Linked DNA regions of Drosophila melanogaster. The protein of the gene in region 1 interacts with the protein of each later gene in a pairwise test. Each region holds a gene or a part of one and is shown in the gene's direction. Other genes may lie near its edges. The genes, in order: CG14506, cpa, CG15549 and CG8141.

Evidence for each region.
Region 2: the proteins of CG14506 (region 1) and cpa interact in a two-hybrid assay, tested with the Drosophila melanogaster proteins (one large-scale study listed by BioGRID).
Region 3: the proteins of CG14506 (region 1) and CG15549 interact in a two-hybrid assay, tested with the Drosophila melanogaster proteins (one large-scale study listed by BioGRID).
Region 4: the proteins of CG14506 (region 1) and CG8141 interact in a two-hybrid assay, tested with the Drosophila melanogaster proteins (one large-scale study listed by BioGRID).

What each region holds. Positions count from the first base shown.
Region 1 is NT_033777.3:29,292,758-29,299,089, reverse strand, and holds CG14506 (uncharacterized protein), read left to right. Parts: upstream 1-1,909; 5' UTR 1,910-1,995; coding exon 1,996-2,035; intron 2,036-2,096; coding exon 2,097-3,271; 3' UTR 3,272-3,929; intron 3,930-4,004; 3' UTR 4,005-5,347; downstream 5,348-6,332.
Region 2 is NT_033778.4:21,055,960-21,060,997, forward strand, and holds cpa (capping protein alpha), read left to right. Parts: upstream 1-1,827; 5' UTR 1,828-2,062; coding exon 2,063-2,303; intron 2,304-2,424; coding exon 2,425-2,594; intron 2,595-2,652; coding exon 2,653-3,102; 3' UTR 3,103-3,924; downstream 3,925-5,038. Other genes in the region: shg (shotgun), read right to left, coding at 1-514; CG15653 (uncharacterized protein), read right to left, coding at 3,940-4,163, 4,221-4,509; mRpL54 (mitochondrial ribosomal protein L54), read left to right, coding at 4,954-5,038. UniProt on the Drosophila melanogaster protein: F-actin-capping proteins bind in a Ca(2+)-independent manner to the fast growing ends of actin filaments (barbed end) thereby blocking the exchange of subunits at these ends.
Region 3 is NT_033777.3:30,934,524-30,938,362, reverse strand, and holds CG15549 (uncharacterized protein), read left to right. Parts: upstream 1-1,855; 5' UTR 1,856-1,904; coding exon 1,905-2,318; 3' UTR 2,319-2,967; downstream 2,968-3,839. Other genes in the region: CG15550 (uncharacterized protein), read left to right, coding at 1,265-1,696.
Region 4 is NT_033777.3:13,189,353-13,193,123, forward strand, and holds CG8141 (uncharacterized protein), read left to right. Parts: upstream 1-2,246; 5' UTR 2,247-2,348; coding exon 2,349-2,451; intron 2,452-2,500; coding exon 2,501-3,117; 3' UTR 3,118-3,157; downstream 3,158-3,771.

The sequences.
Region 1 (6,332 bases):
CAAATGTGTGCCTGTCTCTGATTTGTAATCAAATTAAATTTGTGTTTGGTACAAACAATGAGCGACAGACGACAACATCTCGCATCCGTGATAAAAGCCGAAATTCCTGGTAGACACCAAAGTCAGGCCGGAAAATGCAGTTTTCCCACAGTTGCCGCACGGCTCCAATCGCAACTTCTAGGGAAACTCCCTCACCACCAGAGCTGCGCTGGTGAAAACCTCATAAATTCTCACTTTTTGGCAGGCCGCACACGGCGAGGGAAATTCGAGGCGGCAGGACTCGAAGGACACAGCGCCAGGCGATGAATAGACATTCCCGAGATAATCAACGGCATTATCTTCTGATTATTATGTGTTCTTGGGGCATTTCAGGGAATTTCGTTATGATGAAACTCGCAAAAAATATCGAACTATATCCGGGATGATCGGCGGATGATGAGGATGCCGGGACACCCGGTTGAGTGGCTGAGTATCCGCTTTCCTTTCTCCTCTCTCGTTTAGTTTTTTTTTTTTTCGCAAATTCTCTGTGAGCTCATCATAATCATCATCAAACCCTCGGTCACTTGAGGTTTAAGCCAACATTAAAAAAGAGCCGAAAAAACACCCAAAGACGAAGGAAATCGCCGAAATGAACGTGAGAACACTGAATGTCCTCGTACCGAAATTTGCTTGGGCTCCTCATTGTTCGTTGAAGTGCTCGAGAGAGATTTGCTAGTTGTGTCCTTATTGTTTGCGGGCGAATGTTCATGAATGAATCAATGAATGCCTGAATGGCTAAACGGCTGAAGTTCACGTCCGCACAAAGTATCCGAGTATCTGAGGGATATTGCCGCGTTTTTAGCTGGAATCCCGGATGCAGTCGAGGCGTGAGAAGGAGGCGATCTCTGCGGCCTTGGCAACAAGTCTATTAGTCCGCCATGGTCCACTTGTTTATGGCTTACGTAACCTGGGTGGCAAAGGATGTGCAGGATCTGCACTGGCAGATGGATTCGTGAAAGGGATGCGCGCCCTGATTTCTGCGAGTTGGGTAAACATTCATCGCATCCGGTGCACCCTTGACCGATTGCGAATGCAAATCGCACATTAGAAGCCATGTGCAACTTTCCGCCCAGCAGTCAAACATTATGCAACCGAAACCGAAGGCCGCCCAGTCCATTGATGGCAAATGACAGGGAAACCCATTCGGGACACGTTTTTATGGAGGTGCGAAATGGCACATTTTTTCGACGAAACCTGCCGCGTCATTGAGTCGTCGTCCTTTTTACACCGGCTATGTGCAACCTGAACAACCTGTGCAAGCCTTGCAATTTGTCACCTGAGGCGACATTCAAACTGCCAACGCATTCCAGCTGGGTTTTTGCCTTTGGCCTACTGGTTCCTTTCATTTGGCCACGATTTGGTGGCAACAGTTTCATGAATCGCAGCCGGAATGCCGACCGTTACGAATATTCATTCATGGCACGGCAGCCACTCTGGGGACCTTAAATGGGGCTTTGACTTTGATCCTACAGTTTCATAAAATATTTATGAAATTTCCGATGAAAATATTTGTGCTCAGTTTGGCAAATCATTTCCTTGTGCGAAACGGATAAAAATTTTCCCAGGCCTCGATGAACTGAAAGTGCAATTTTCATTTATGCAATGGGAAAGGTTTGAGTAGGTTTGACTTTTAAGGATTTGGGGAAACCTCAGGGGAAAGACTTTAGATTCTGCGTAAAAATTAGGGAATTTATTTCTATGAATGGCAATTTTTAAGGGAAAACTCCCCACTTCACCACTCTTATAATAAATAGTCATTGATCAGAGTTGGCTTTGGGTTTGTCTATCAACCAAGTATATTTCAACTTGGCTTTAAAAAGCATGGATAGTTCATGGAGCTCCTTGATTTCCCTAGAACCCCTGGGAGTGACCAACACGCCATTGGACTTGCCTGGACTTGATTCGTGTCCTTCGCCAAAAAGAGCAAGGATTAGTGAATCCCAGCTGGGGGAAGCCATGCCCAGGGAACCAGCTAGTGTCTATGGGGAAAAGGCAGGTGAGAACGGCTATCGGGGACTTTAAGCTTCTCACGGACTTTGAATTATCCACAATCCTAGCAAATTTCCATTCCCTACAAGAGAAGGTGAAAACGTACCAACCTGGCACAGTGGTAGTCCAGCCACCCGAACGACGGCCTCCCGAGCCGGAACACGATCGCCTGATGTTCATTCCCGACCTAGACCAGGACATTACCCATCGGGATGTGTTCACCTATTTCAGCAAATTTGGGGATTTGGAGAGGGTCAGCGTGAGGAATGGCATGAGTAACTTTAACTACGCCATGGTGCGGTTTAGTCGCACTTCATACATGGAGCATGCCATCGAATCGAATCCACATCTGATCAAGGGATACCGATTGAACTGTCGCAAGGCGAAAGAAAAAAGTACAAATAAGGGAAGTCAGCAAAACTCTGGGACCATAAAAAAACCAAAGGCAACGATAACGCAGCCACACAAAGCTCCTGTAAGGCAGGCAGAGAAAAACGACGCCAAACAAAGTGGTCACAAATCTTTAGAGAAGAATTCGAAGCCACCAATTAACAGATCATTGCTTCTTCAAAAACTGGTAGAACCCACGTCCTATAGTCCATTTACCGCCGTAAAATCTGATCGAAACTATGCCTATGCATTAACCAATGACATTGGAATCTCCCGCTGGAGCTTTAACTTGTTGAAATTCGAACCCAGTTCAGACGAGGTGAGGGCCCTGGAAAAGGGTCTTTCCAGTTCGGCAAAGCTCCTACTGAGCATACGGAAGAAACTGGCTGCCGTGCCCCACAAGTCTGTCGAGCCACCAGCTCCAAAGTGGCCACAAACTCCTAGTGATAAAGCCGTTCCAAAAGTTACTCTTAAGATAGCTCCACCAATTCCTGCCTCTAGTCCAGTGCTCCCATCCCTGCCACAAACTCCTAGTGATAAAGCCGTTCCAAAAGTTATTTTTAAAATACCTCCACCACCTCCTGCCTCTAGTCCAGTGCTCCCATCCTTGCCGAGCCTTCTGCCGATCACTCCCCTAGTGCCTAAGCCCAAACCTGTTCTTCGAAAAGTTTCCAAGTCAGATCTCCGCTACGCCGTTCTAGCCAGTTTGGGTCAGAACTATGTCCATCACTGCTACACTAATGTGGCAGCTTATCGGCGGACCAAGAACTACGTCGACCTACAGCTCAGCGAGATGAAAGACCGACCCAGCATTTCGATGTTTGCGGATCAGATGTACGCACAGAAAGAGTAGGAATTACCAAATGCAAATCATATCTATCATATCATATATCATTCAATATAACAATAGTTAAGCAATATTTCCCAAGAAACTTCAAAGAACACTTTCATTATAAGGAAATGGCATACATTACATAAGTCGGACACTTTCTAAATTGAGGGAAGCCGAAGGATGTGACTTAGATTCCTGGAAGATATGAATGGAGCTGCTTGAATGAAACGTGAACATATTACACAAAAAGTTCCAATTCCAATTCAAAGGCACTTGAATCGCAGCAACCTGTCAACATAATTAATCCCCTGGATCAGCTGATGACGGTACTGCCCCTGACCGAATGATACACAAAATATGAACAATTCCTAGAGGGGGCGCGGGAATGCGATAAATGCGATGAAATAGGGGGCCTTGATTTCTGTAGCGCGGCCTCTGTTCTGCCCGACATTCCCAAGGATGTGCCTCCAAAAACCTGGCTTTCTTCTTGCTGGGCCGTGTTAATTGTCCAACATTGTGTGAGCGTGGACGTGAACAGGTCGGGTGCCATTAACAATCTTAACAACGATCCACAGCCACGGCCACGGCGATCCCACGGCTTGTCGCCTTGTTTCTCGAGCAGTTTTTTATGCCATTTACGAAGAAATCTTGCAACAAATCAGGAGCTCCCTTTTCCACAGTAAATACGAGTGTGCGAGAGCGACCTTTATTCGTTTGATGTTAAAAAAATTGTTCTACCTTCTCCCCCCCCCAGCACTACTTGTCTTCCTTTTTGGCCGGCCATCTCTGTGAACCTGTGACGACGCAATTCTTTGCCATTATCAGCTGCATCCTTGCAGGTCCTGCACTAGTTGCCCCCGCTCTCAATTCCGTTGCCGACCCCGATTCAATTTGGCTTTTATTGGGATCTCGGGCATCCCGATCCCGATCCCGATGCGATCCTAATTGCGGTGGCAATAGCTCGGCGTTTAATCACTTCGTACCTGCGGCTTAGACAGTCAAACCCGGCAGTCACTCATCGCGGCGGAGGCGGATATGTAGTAGAGCTGCACATATAAATGGGTATATGGTCCTGCAAATGGATCGACCTCGATGATTTTCACCAGCCAAATTGCGGCTTTGTGTTGCCTTTTCCCATTTGCCGGTGGATACATTTGGACTGGATCGTTATCTGGTTCTCTTTGTGCTTTCAAGGTTTATGGTCTAGCACACATATATTTCCTGTGAGAACAAATCCCAGTCCTGATGACCCCCGTAAACAAACCCGGTGAACATGGAACATCCCGACTAACAGCAACAACATCGGTGTCTTCCACTAAGTATTCGAATTCCCCTTCCAATTTTTGTGGGGCGATCGTGTACTCGCGGGCTGAAAAATCTACATAATGACAGGGCCACGCCGAAAACTAGTTCAGATCGCAAATTACGAACCGGTAAGGGATGGGATGAGATATACATGCATGTGTGTGTTGCAGTTCCCATTCAGGACACTCGGGACAGGACATCGAGCGCAACGGGAGACGCGGCGCGTTGAGGTTCGGCAAAGGTCATGTCAGGACTTTGCATAAAATGTTTGAAAATGTTTTCATTATGGTAAGTAGACACAAAAGTCCAACACACGAGCGATTCCCACCGAAAGGGGTGTCCTTTCCCAGCCCATCCCAGCCCGTGCGCCCAGGATCCTGGCATATATTGGTGATAAATTAGTTTAATGTTCGAAGCACCAAACTCGCAAGAAGCACACGAAAAAAAAAACACTCAACCGCAGCTGAGGCGGCAAAGTTTGGCAGGAAAATCCGACCTACCGTTTTTGGCGGCATTTTCCCGACATATACGTGTCCATCGAAATGAACTCGAGTCCTGGCAACTAATGAACTACGCAAACAATAGCTCAATGGCTACGCTTTAAGGAAAAAACGACGTAAAAATCACGTCTTGGAAATTTTCACATCGTTGATCTTAAATGGAAAATTACACTTCTCTAGCTGGACAGTGCAGGACAAACAGGATAGAATAGCGATCAGGACATGACACAATTGCAGTTTGCAGGACAATTGTTGCACTCACGCACGTGCAATGTGTTCCTGCAACTCGGTGTCTCTGGATTTCGAAGTCGAGTGCGCAGGGCCACGCCCATTGTGTGTCCCAGTGGCCGACTATATAGTACAGTGCGTTTCGTGAATGAAGCGACCAAAGTTACGAGTTACTTTGAATAGCGGCGGCGGTGGCAAGTGGATCAGATCCTGCGACAATGGCCTTTGTGTCCTTTGTCTTCCGCCTTGTTGGGGGTGTGCGGTGTTGTTGCAATTTTAGTGTAATTTTATTGTTATTAATTGTATGAAATGGGTTTTTAAATGGCCTTTGTCTAGGCCAATGAATGGCCATAGTCATAGTAAAAACGTGCCTTGTTAAAGGCATGTAATATCATAGGTTTTTTATTTTTAGCGGGACAAATAAATCTAGTAATTGTAACAAGAGTTATATTGTTTCCACACATTTCGCAGCAGTTTAGAGCACTTTCCTTTTAAACGAAAAGGAATGACTTTGTGTTACAACAACTATCATGTTATCAAAGCGGAATAATAAGTTTTTAAAGTAAATAAATAAATAAACTCAAGGCTATTGAGATCATTGCCAAAGAAAATATAATCACCGGCAATATGATGACTTCAAAAATACTCTAAGAAAAGCATTGTAATTGTCTGTTCTCTAAAATAATAGTAGATATATGAAGAAATTGTAAGGACTGCTCTTAGGAAGAACAGCAGTACTCCATAGAAATATGAACTGAAGTGTTCAGAATTCAAGTATCCTAAGGTCAAGCCTTGAAAACCACAAGATACCTTCGAGAAGTACTTTCAACTCGCCTCTCAAATTAAACAGAAGTTACTTTCCAAAAAGGATAACTCGGTCGCAGTTTCCTCTCCCCCCCTCCTTTCACCTTTACCCCCTTGGATGCCATTCTTTCGTCCTTTTGCGATATACATTTTGCCTTGTAGACCGATTTCGCACAGCTTCTCATCGGGCTGCTGTTTGTTTAACACCTATTTCAAGGATCGCGCGAAACAGAACGATGATTTTT
Region 2 (5,038 bases), on another chromosome or scaffold:
GACCATTATCCGTGGCCTGGACGGTGACGAAGACGAACTTCTCGTGGATCGGCTCGTCACGATCGAATGTGTGGGTGGTGAAGATTACGCCCGTGCTGGGATTGATAAAGAACTTGGGTCGCTCGAACGGCGACTGGACGATGCTGTATCGAATGACCTGGTCGGGATCAGGGTCGACGGCCTCTACGGTGAGAACGTAGGTGTTTTCGGGCTGCTCCTCTTTGACCTTAGGAGCGTATCCGGCGCAGTTTTTGAAGGCGGGCTTACGATTGTCGCCGGAAAAGTTTTTGTCCGGCGGCGAGTGAAGTGCGAGGGCGGGTGACAGAAGGCTGATGGCCACGATAACGCCCAGGAGGAGTCTCGCGGGGATTAGTCGCCTGCCAAGGTCGCGGCATTTTCGCTTGTGCTGCTGGTGCGTCTGTTGCTGGGCGGGATTTAGGTGGCCGGCCTGCGGGGTCGCCGACATATTGATGCAGTGGTAGCTTCTGGACATTCGCTGGACACTGGTGGACATACTCTCTAGCGGCGATCCGCCATCGCAGACTCTCTTTTTTTCAACCGCAACACTTTTGAGCACTTCTTCGTGAATCACCCAGTATTATTTCACTCACACACCTTTTACTTTTGTTTGTGTTGCCCACTTCTACTTCCACTTCTTTTTTATTCTATTCTATTTGCACTCTTCTTCTTGTTTCGTTTCTCTCAGTGTACCGTTTGTTTGGACTGCATTTTCATGGCAACCGCTCAATAATTATCAATCGAATCGAACTCGTACAGTGCGCGCCCTGATTGTTAACTGACTTATTCCGATTTCGGTGCAGCTGCTCTGGCTGATATTTTCGTTCACTTTTATCTTTCACTCGTCCGCTTGGGCACTCTCTTTCTCCGTTTCTGTTGCCTCCTCTCTTTCGCACCGCAAACAGGTAAGACCAGGTAAAAAAGTGGTTACACGCACACCGCCAAGCGCGCGCATTTGTGTGCGTGTGGTTCGGTTCGCTGCGTTGGTATGTGTGTTACCAACGACTTTTGGTAAAAAGGCACTTTTCGATGGTATTTCGTTGTGAACTTGTACTTTCTGGCGAATTATTTTAAATAAAAAGATCGCAAAACGTATTTTCTTTCACTTCGATCGCTTTTATTGTCGACTTACAACGAAGCTGCGGAGCCACACCGATTTTGAAACTGCGATCGACGCGCGAGACAACCGCTCAATTCAAAAGCAAAAACACAATGCAACAAAAACAACGGGCGGCGTTAGAGATGTGAGACACCGTCGATTCCTCGGTCATCGATAATTAACGGTTAATAATCTCGATGTTTTCGTTTTATCGATACTATATACTGTCTACACTTCTCGATAAATACGTTGATGTGAATCAATTACACTGGATTTAATATAACAAATATTTCTTTAAAAATGGAAGCTGGAAGATAAAAATGGCCCAGCTTGGGCTTTCAAATAGAATTATTAACAACTATTTTTCACAAACAAACAGGTTAATTTTAAACGAGTTGATCAATACTTTAATACTTATATAACTGAAAAATATTTAATAACCAAAACTAGCTACCATGTACAACAATAACATAATTTGCTTTAAAAAAGTTCTGATTGAGTTTGGTTTTGAACAGGCAATGATATTTATTGGTCTCGAGGAACTATTTCTATAATGTATTACATTCTACATCGTTAAAAGTTTTTTTATTGCAATTCAAGTAACGCGCCAAGACTTTTGCCATTCACCCGTCGGATTATGGAGCAGTGTAGACTGCCCGTAAAATACGGTGAATCGCATCCGGTACAGGTACACAAATATTTCCCATCCCTAGCAAAGAGTGGAAAAAAAAGTGAATCGAATCGTCATCGTCTTGGCCCATTAATTGCGGAGAAAAAAGATTGCAGCGCCGAAAAAACGGTCAAGGAAGAGTTCCAGCGACACCGCAACTTCCAACCACTCCACAAGAAGATCCCGTCGAAAGGTAGAACCCTAGGAACCGGAGGGGAAACCAGACCAAACCAAACAACCGCCCAGCCCCGATTTCGTGAATCACCAGTGGAACTATGGAGCAGACACCGATCACCGATGCGGAGAAGGTGCGCATCGTATCGGACTTCATCCTACATGCGCCGCCCGGCGAGTTCAACGAAGTGTTCAACGATGTGCGGGAGCTCCTCAAGAATGACACTCTGCTAAAGGATGGGGCTAGCCACGCCTTCGCCCAATACAACAAGGACCAGCTGACTCCGGTTCGCATCGAGGGCACCGATCATAACGCCATCATATCGGAACACAACGATCTGGGTGAGTTCAGTTCCATCAATGCCCTTAAATGGACAAAGCCTGCCATATGAGTCACCTACACACATTGTTTGGCTTTCGGTCGATATCTTGAGCCCCACACTGATAAGCAATTGCATTCCAGGAAACGGTCGCTTCTACGACCCGCGCACAAAGCAAGCCTTCAAATACGACCACCTCCGAAAAGAGGCTTCCGACTACCAGGACGTAGAGGCAGATGCCACTGCGGAGCCCTGGAGGGCGGCCCTCGACCTGGAGACGCTCGCCTACACTGCCAGTCATTATAGACACGGGGTAAGTTGAATGAAAAACGCTCTATTGCTTACAATAACCCGTAACATTTTCTCTACAGGTCAGCTCTGTTTTTGGAAAGGCGCAGGGCAACCAGATCACCCTGACCATTTGCATCGAAGACCACCAGTTCCAGCCGAAGAACTATTGGAATGGCCGATGGCGCTCCCAGTGGCATGTGACCTTCCAGGCGGGCAGCGGAACCGCCGAACTGAAGGGTGTGCTCAAGGTGCAGGTGCATTACTACGAGGACGGCAACGTCCAGCTGGTGTCCTCAAAGGAGTGCCGCGAAAGCGTGGTGGTCAGCAACGAGCAGCAGGTGGCCAAGGAGGTGATCCGTCTGATCGAGGACGCCGAGAATGAGTACCAGCTGGCCATTTCGGAGAACTATCAGACGATGTCGGACACGACATTCAAGGCAATGCGTCGCCAGTTGCCCATCACCAGGACCAAGATCGACTGGAGCAAAATCGTCTCGTACAGCATTGGCAAGGAACTGAAGACGCAATAAGACCAGGAGGTGCAAGCGGAAGAGGAGCGGACACAGTCGACAAAGCGGCCCAATAGTCTTCCACTTGCCATGGCCAAGCGAGCATAGGAACCGATCACCAGCATTAACACCACAGCATCCGAAACGAAGTAGCAGGAATACGAGAAACGAGGGCGGCCAGGTGCAGGTGCCTGCCGAAAAAGCAAATGTCTGTAATTGGCTATATACATACGAACATATACCTACTTATATATATATATACGGCCTGTATTTATACTGTGTTATACAACGACGAAAGTGCGTAAACATAACTACACATATATCGAGTACGATCGGAGACGATTTGATTGCAAGGATTTGGATGACTTTAGCCTGACGGTGAACGATGCACTGCCGCCTCGTCTACGTCACGATCGCCACCAATTGTCGCCTTTATCGTTTAAGAAGAGCATTAAACGCGGATTTTATCATGTCCTCTGACCTATGTATTATTCTAATTTTAAACGAATCAAGCTCGAGATCTGCGCTCTCGATGAGCCAGTCAATTCTTCGTGTCTTTGAAGACCAACCAGCCGACTCTCGACTATTTTAAGTGGTATCATTAGGAGCACTCATTCAAGTTTTTCGCTTTCCCGATTGTTCACAAACCAACCACCTAGTATGAGCATGAATAATAACTATGCTAAACCACTGATCATTTTTGCCAGCTCTCCATTGACAAACAATAACTAAAGACTTTGATTTTATAAAAACAATAAATTTGTAATTAAAATAACATAACTATAAAACATTTAAGATTGCTTGAATTAGTCAAATTTAAAGAGAATAAACTAATTGAATCGGACATTCGGATTGTCTTCACTTTGAATGTGTTTCTGGTTGTTGATCCGATGCGGATAGAATGACATTGGAATCAACTTGCTGGGCAGTTTGTTTGGTTATACTCTCGGGCAGATCGAAGGTTAGTTCCTCGGATTTTTTAAGCAAAAATCGTTTCTCTGGGTTGAGTTTTGTTTCCAGCTCCAGTCGATCGATCAGCCAGCCTCTATCCGGCTGATTGGACGCCCAAAAGTATAAAGTTCCTGCAAATATAAGGTTGGTAAACGCCAAAGATTTGCTTTCAAAATCGATGGATCTACCTTTATCCTTGCTGCCCCGCACAGCCACCTCACAACGCGCCTCCTCCGCATTGCAATTGTTGTTGGCGTTGGACAGATCGATGCCAGAGTCCTTGATGGGTTCACCCAGGAGACCAACTGCTCCTCGATGGCTCCGCAGTGCCTTCAAGGCCAGTTTGTAGTACTCTGCGGATTTCACCCGATCCTCCATCTTCCATTTCATGTACATCACAGCGGATATGGAGGCCACCGCACCGTAGACACAAATATTGCCCAGTGTTCGGTTCGACGGAAACTTGAGTCCAACCATCTTGCTAACGCTTTTTTATTTACAATCCAGCTGCTGTTACTTGTGTAATATACCGTATAGCCGGCGTCGAATTAGCGATGACAGCTGGTCGATATCGTTATGTGAAAAGGCTTATTAAGACCGAAGTCCACCTCTAAATGCATTTATATGCAAATTATTTGCAGAAAATATAACAACATCATCTATTGTTATGTTGTTTTAGTGACAATTAAGTCATATTATAAAATTGCTCATAAAATTGCTTTTCATTTAAAAATAATTTCGATAGTTATTTGTTTTGAAAAATCAGCTGACTGGTCGTATACTTTATAACCAGGGCTGCAGTGCCACACTTATAGTTAGCAGATTATACAACAAAACGCACAGTTTTGTAAATATCTGTAATTTATCATTTGTTTTTCTATTAAAGTGACGAAAACGGATTAAATAAAGCACATAGCAGACATGACCAGCCTAACCGCAGTTTTCCAGATGGCGAGGCAGCGATTGATAGCCCCAGCGATAGGAAACTGGGCACGTTTTTATGCTG
Region 3 (3,839 bases), 1.6 Mb from region 1:
TTGAAATAGGTTAGCTTTTTCACTCAGATTTGTACATATTTGATATGAGACAGCTTAGATAATTTAAAATCAAATAATAATCATACAAATTCAAATAGCTTATATATCTAATGACGATAATAGTATTCGCATAATATGGCTTTGAATATGTAACATCCACTCATATTTCAAAAATCCTACGCCGAACCGCAAATCACAGATTTGCGCAGTTTCGACTAACAAATTGGAAAATGTACGAAAAGCAAACCGAAATGCCGCTAAATGGGTTCCGAATGTAATTGTATTTGCATTTGCATTTGGAGCCGAGAGAAGAGCACAACTGTACTTGGGGGCTGTGTGTGCTGTGCAAATCCACGCAAAATTCCCCAAATTCCGAATGGGTTGGGTTCAAATCGAATCGAGAGGGTTGAAGTGTGCTTAAATTCTCATTAGACGCATTAGTGGCGTTGACCAGCTGCCACGCCCACCGCCCGCCGCCGCCTCTTTGCACCTGACCATGCCCGAAATTCAATAATAATAATTGATTGCTTATTACAAACGCACTGCATATGTGTCTCAAATTTATGTGGATATTCTGCTGGTGGTGGGGAAGGGGGGAACGGGTGGAATTTGCTAATATTTACGCATTAGTTTATTTGCCGATGGGAGGTGGTGAACCCCCTGCCAAATCCACCCTGTAAATGCCAAATGACCAATGCACCTGTACGGCCCAAAATCATCATTAAAGTTTAATGTTTTCATTTCGGTTTGTGCACGCAGCAATTTTAATTATTAACTTTATAATTATGCAAAATCACGAATTACATTAGAATCACTTTGTTATGCCGATTTGGTTTACGGTCTCTTTGAGCGGTGAATCGAGTGAATTGCGAGCTGATTTGGCACTTCTAATCAAGACTCGGCTGCCATTCCCCATTCCCATTTGGCCACAATAATTAAGCCCTGTGGAATAATAACCGAAAGCAATAATAACAGAAGTTTAAACTTAACCAACTTTACATACGAATCTCACACTTTTAATATCTAGGGCTAAGTAAGTACGATTGTTTAAAATGAAAGTAATATAATGCAGTATAATATTTATTTTATATCAAAAGTCTTGTTTTATTTTCGAATCATTTGGAACATTTTTTAAAGACTCCCATTGGAATAGTTCTCCTCCCAATGGAATAGTTCTGGGAAAGGCCCGTCGTCTTTGCGATAAGTGGAGCCTATAAAGTCAGCTCCACGATTTCCAAAGCTTCAGTTGAAGAAATTCCGCGCAATGACTTACAAGATCGCCGTAAAGTGGTTCCCTATTTCGCTGGTGCAGGAAGTACTGGCAGCTCAACAGCCAGCGATATCCGAATCGTGGAGCTTTTCACTGGAATCCATACCCACCAAAGTGCTGATCATCTCCAGCGTAGTCCTGATCACTTGTATTTGGATAGGCTGCGCCTACTTCATGGCCAATCGCCATCAGAAGGCGGTCCAGTATCTTCAGAGCCAACTTGACGAACTGTGGCTGCTGCAGGCTAAGCCCTCCGTTTGGCCACATGCTCCCTTCATCCCAAATGCCCGGGAGCAGAATCCGCCGGAGTATATTCCGCCTATGGATCCCCAGGAGCAGGAACAGGAGGCCAACGAGGCGCGGGAGAGGGCAGAAAAAGCCAGGGCATTTTTGGAGACCAGAAACAAACATAAAGATAAAGAGTGAGATAAAACCGATTTTAAGTGGAATTATAAATATTAACTTTACAACCTTGCATATATATTAAAAATGAAATTATACAATACTTAGATAGTTTCCAACTATTTGCTTTAGTTTTATTAAAATACATGTTGCAGTCAGCACTGACTTAGCCTTAAATTTATTTGAGAATCCTCAAAATTCATGCTATTCGACGTGTGGCAAAAAGTGCAGTATGTTGGCCAATCTGTTGACCCTAAGCTGCCTTCTGGCCCAAATTATCCCTCGGATTTGGGGGCAGTATGCGGCGGTGAACTGCTCAGATCCCAGGATCGAACTGACATCCTGTGGCCGCTTCAGTACGAACGGGTGCTGTGCCAAGGGATGTGTGAGGAATGTGCGCGGAAGGTGCGTCCAGGAGGAGTGCACCGCATCCTGGAGCGGCTGGCTTCAAAGGCCAGTGACCATGAGCTGCTACTTCCACTGGTTCCTGCTGATCTTCGCCGGGCTCATCACGGCCCTCATGCTGGGCCTGGTGGCCTGCAACGCGGCCTGCGAAATAAGGCGCTACCTTCGCCAGCGGAGAATCGAGCGATTCAGGCGCTTCAGGGATCTGAGCGGAGTCTCCATTGGATCCACTCAGTGCTAGAGCACGTGTGAGCATGAGGTCCTTGGACTAAGGGGCTGGGAATCAGGAAGGAAGTGCCGAGGGATTTACCATAATCTGCAATACATTAGCGGCAGCTTTGCTCTGGATTCCAATTCAATTCTTTGGGTATCTCCGGCCAAAGCCATGTAAATTACGATTCGCCACCTCGGAAATCCTATTAGTAGTTAAAACCTGATTAGGAAATACTTGCGGCCGAGCCTCGGGCTCACATTTGCTGAAAGCAAATAATAATAAATGGCTCTCACATGCGAGATGCTTTGTGGATACATGCCCTCCAGGGTGACACCTCCTCCGGAGCAAGTCGAAGGTGGCGTGGAATTCAGATGGCTGTGGAGTCGAGTCAAAGGTGCAATAACCCAACCGAGCGGGGCACATAAAACTAAATGGCTGCGGGTTGCGTTGCCAGTCCTCGAAGTCCTTCCCAGACCCCGGACCCCGGTCCCGGATCACCAGCTCGCTCCTCTGCGGATTCAGTAGCTATTGCGGTGGAGATAACAACCATAAGGGTACACCCGAGGGCACTCAGAGAGGAGCGTTGCAAATAGGATTGTGTATATTTTGTCACAGCTTCTTTCTGTTTTAAGTGAATGAGAGACTATTAAAATCGGGAAACTAAATATTTTATTTCAACCTATAGTCTTTAGTCTCTAGTCTATTTCACAGTATTCGCTTTAATATTTAAAGCCCCTCTGCTTCCTAATAGTTCTTCGTTTTTTTTTTTTTTTTTGTTCATTTCCCCTGCTGTTCAGCTTATGTGTGCGAATATAAATGTATATATTTTTAGTATAACTGAAAGTCAGTCAGGCATGCAGCCAAAGCTAAACGCGCTGCCAACCGCGCAGAAAATGAAATGGAAAATATTGGCGGGCGGGGGAGCTGGAAAAGCGGAAAATAAAAAGGAAATAAACGAGCCAAAAAGGAAAAGCTTTGCGAAAAGGTTGCCCATGTGTGTGGAGTGGTGGGTGGTGGGGGGTCGGGCTGGGGGTCCCGGGTAGCAGATTTAGAGGTTGCTTATGTGTGATTTAGTACAGCATGCGCGAATATGGCGGCGATAATTCTTTAAAAATTGGAAATTGTTTTCCAATCGATTTCGCATTTAGCCAAAAAGCACTCAACACAAAGACACAAAGGGCCGCCAACGAGTGTCTTTTATAAACTTGTGTAGTTGTTCGGTTTCGGATTGGCTGGGCCGCACAAGCGGATTGAACCCATACGAGTGTGTATTTATATTTGATAAAAATGTATGAAAAATACGATATTTCGTTATTTTTCACCTGGCTGCAGCTTTGAAAAGGATTTGGCAGCTGAAATCATGGATTTGGATTTGGCTTTGCCATTGGCTTTCCGTGTAGTTTGTTTATTTTCCTGGCTTGTCAAGTGAAAAGCGTTTGAATGAATTTGAGAGAGGGAGAAAAGGAACATTTTGTCTGCTCAAAAATGTAGGGCAATTAAGTATGAACAATAAGATTACAATATCCAAGGAAATGAGGGGTATTTACT
Region 4 (3,771 bases), about 16 Mb from region 1:
CACAGACAGACACGAACTGCTCACCTCCTTTATTTTTTCACTCATGACACACCGATTCTGTGTGTGTGCTTTCTTCGCAGGTGATATGAAAAACATATACGAGTGTAAGAGAATCTCTGTTATTGTTTATCCAAGTCGCAGTGGGCATGCCCTGCCTTGAGAATAATTATACAATATATTTTTGTAATTCTATGTAATAAATGTTAGTTAATAGGGTTGAAGTTTGAAATTTTCTTTCTTTCCAAGATTTTTACTCATTCTGGGTCTTAATAATTTGGCATTACATACATTTTCGGTACCTTTTTTTCTCGATTATGAAAATGCCATCAGTGTATGCAGTGTATGTGTGAGTGCTTGGGCACCATCAGGGCCCAAAAAAATACCATTCTGGCCAGGATAAGTCTGAACAGTGCAACTCATAAGGGAGACAAGCAGCCTCTTCACATCGGCTTGTGTACCATTGCATTTTGCATAATGAAGCCGGCAGACAGTGCACTTTCGAGCATCAGACAAACGAAGTTAGGTACGAACTTAAAGGCTTGCCAAGCTGGAAAAGTTAAAGTTAGCTTTTTGGCACAAGTAGTGAGAAGGGGTTGGTAATTTGGGTAGGGGTTTTTAGGAGCGTTGTAGTAGCCTAATTACGCTCCAATGGCTGCCCATCAAAAGTGACAGTTGGCAAGGCAGGGGCTTACAATAAAATTTCAAGTTAAGTTATTGCCGCGCCGCTGGCGAGAGCTACGCGAATACTCAGTTGAAAGTAATTCCAAATTTAATTGCGCACAATTTAGAATGGCGAGATGTTGGCGTGCGTTTAATTAACTGAAAAATAACATAAAAAGCAAAACGAAAACAAAGCCCAATGACAGCCGCGGCGCCAGTGGAAATGCTTAATGTTAAATGCCAACTAATTAAATTTCGGGCATGCCAACGAAGTTGACTGGAGTTGAACTGCCGAATTTATTGTTGCATTTAATGGCCAGCGCAGGCGGTTATCCTTGTGCCATCGCTCGGCTTTACCACTTTTTATTGCGTATACGCTGGGGCACCCCCATTACGTATACGCAGTGTATTACGCCCCTCCACTCACAGCAGGCAAATGGACAGGCTAAAGGATTCGCTTTGTGGACAGGGATATAGGATGCCAAATGACGCAGAACCACTGGCATTGCGATTGTAATTCCGATTGGGCAAACGTCAGTTTCTCTGCGGTCCGTCGCCAAATGAAGCCAATAAAATGTCCTTGTTCGCACGCAAACGTGCGAAAGTGATTCATGTAAACTGATAAAAATTTAATCATATTTCACGTATTAACACGTAATTATTAATGCCTGATAAATGTCGGCAGTTGTGTAATATGTGAAAAAGTCGCTATTAATATGCATTATTTTCCGCTAGTTGTTATTTCACTGGGTAAGTAAAAAGCGCACGGTGTGTCCACAAGCTTCGGAAATACTTTGCTACGCATTACCATATAATTATAGTACTTTAAAAATATTTTATAGATGGTCTTAAAAACTTAAATTTCATTATATTTTACCACGCAACACTCCCGCTTGTTTTTTATTCAGAACAAGAACAGGTTATTTTACACCACTGCGTAATAGTTCTTTATTTAATTCTGTTCGAGTGTGTAATTTCGCTATGAAACTTCACTTTTATTATTATTGTCATTGTTATGTGTGCGAACGCCTGTCGGCGGGTTTATTTGGACCGTCCCGCGCTTTATTTTCTTTTAATTATGTACTCAGCTCACAAATGTGGGTCAATTAACAAGCAGTCGATGGTCCCCATCGATGTCGAAAAATCGGGATTAAACAATGCCGCAGACGTGCTGCCAGGACAATGCAAACAATTGTCAGAATTTAAATGCAGCGGCAACGGACCGCGAAGTTTCCACTCACTATCCGGTTCAATTTTCGCATAAATTATGCCGCCATATGTCACACATCTGGCGAATGCTACGAATTTCGATTTTCCGCCGTTTTTCCGGAACTGTCAAATGCTCGGCGTGTGTAGTTCGCTGTTTTGCAATTCTTGGACGGAATGCTGGAATGGTTTTAATATAAATCACTAAGTGTCTGCAAAACAATCAAAATCTGGCATGAACTATGTTACGGTGAAACTTAGTCATTAATTAATATGCCCTCAAATTTAAGTCGCTGAAAATGTCTTGCTTTTCATATAATCGAGAAATAAAATTACTATTGTACCTAAGATCTGTGTTAAGAATATTATAAAAAGTCGCGTTTGCTTTGACTCAGTTGTCACAAATTTGCCAGGCACAAATTTATATTTATGTAATTTGGAGCATGGGTTTTTAAAAACAATAATCACAAAAAGATTTTGAAATGGAAGCAGTTGCTAGAGAAAATGATCCACCAAATCATTGCTATATAAATGAAGAAGTTCCAGCGAATGAAACTGCCGAGAATCCTAGTCATGGCCTTCAAGGTGAGGCATTCCAATTAAATGGAAAATTATTAATGTTCAAGGTGAGCAGGTGAGGTGATTTCAAAGGGTTATATACCAGACTTGTCCAACGCAAACGTCAATCAGCAACAGCAGCAGGAAAATGATGGCGAAGATGACCTCTTGCCTGGAACTAGACTTCGCTACCGTCGCAGGAATTTGCATCTGGATCCCTATGTGTGCAATGAGTGCAACCAGTATGTGCGTGGTGGTGTGATCACCATCTGTGGTCATTTGTTTTGCTGGACTTGCCTGTGGCCCAAATTGAGTGGTACAGCACAGCCAAGATGTCCATGCTGTCAACGACATTTGCTCATGTACGAGGACATCATGCCCTTCCATGGAGAGGGACCCAATGCCCGTCAGGAGGATAATAATGTGCCGGCCCAGCCGGGCTCAGTGCCTCGCCCGACGGGACTGTATCTCTCTGATACTGATTTTCCCTGTTGGTTCGCGGTCAACGATCCTGTAGATGGGTGCCCAGCGACTTTCCCTGATATTCGCAGGGAGAGGGATCTTCACTGCGCTATAAGGCTTATTCCAATGGTGTACCCTTGGATCGGAGCACAAATTAGTTTTCTCAAGTGGTTCCAGTTGGGATGCGTGTTGCTCATATTTCTGATATGGTCCGTACTGTCGCTGTTCTAAGAGGTGTTTTTGTAATACATTTTTGTTTTTGGTTAATGGGAGAAGAGTGCGTTTTGGTTAATATCTTAAGAGGTTGGTCGGACCTCAATAAATTTCTGCTAATGCTGAAAGTATCTATTTTATAAAATCGAATGATTTAAATCGTATATAACATTCATTATAATTTGTTGCCCAAACCTCTGCAGCCAAGACATTTTCGTTGGAACCCTCTTGCATCTTCAACGAATCGAAGAAATATTTTATGAACTCTCTGGCCAAGTCAAAGTTAGTAAGTGCAACAACGCAAAGTACCGGGGCATCCTGGCCAGCTGAAACAATAAATTCTTGGGGCAGTTAGGAAACCAGACAAAACTGTAAGCAAAGTTAAGCAGCTTTAAGTCGGAACTTAAAGCCTTTTCACCTGAGGAGTATGGAAAGAAACGAACCGAATACTTTGGCTAATGAACCATGGTCAACTGAATATTCGGGGAATTGGGTTAGCCCAATTGAGTTGTTAACCGACTTTTGTGGGGGATGGACACTTGATGACAGCTCCGTGGGGGAATTGGAGTTGCGTGTCGGCCTTTAGCGGCTTGGCTCTGGGCAATATTTATCATTAATTAAGTGAGTGCCGAGAAATCCGTAAGGATATATAACCGAAAGGCAAGTGACAGA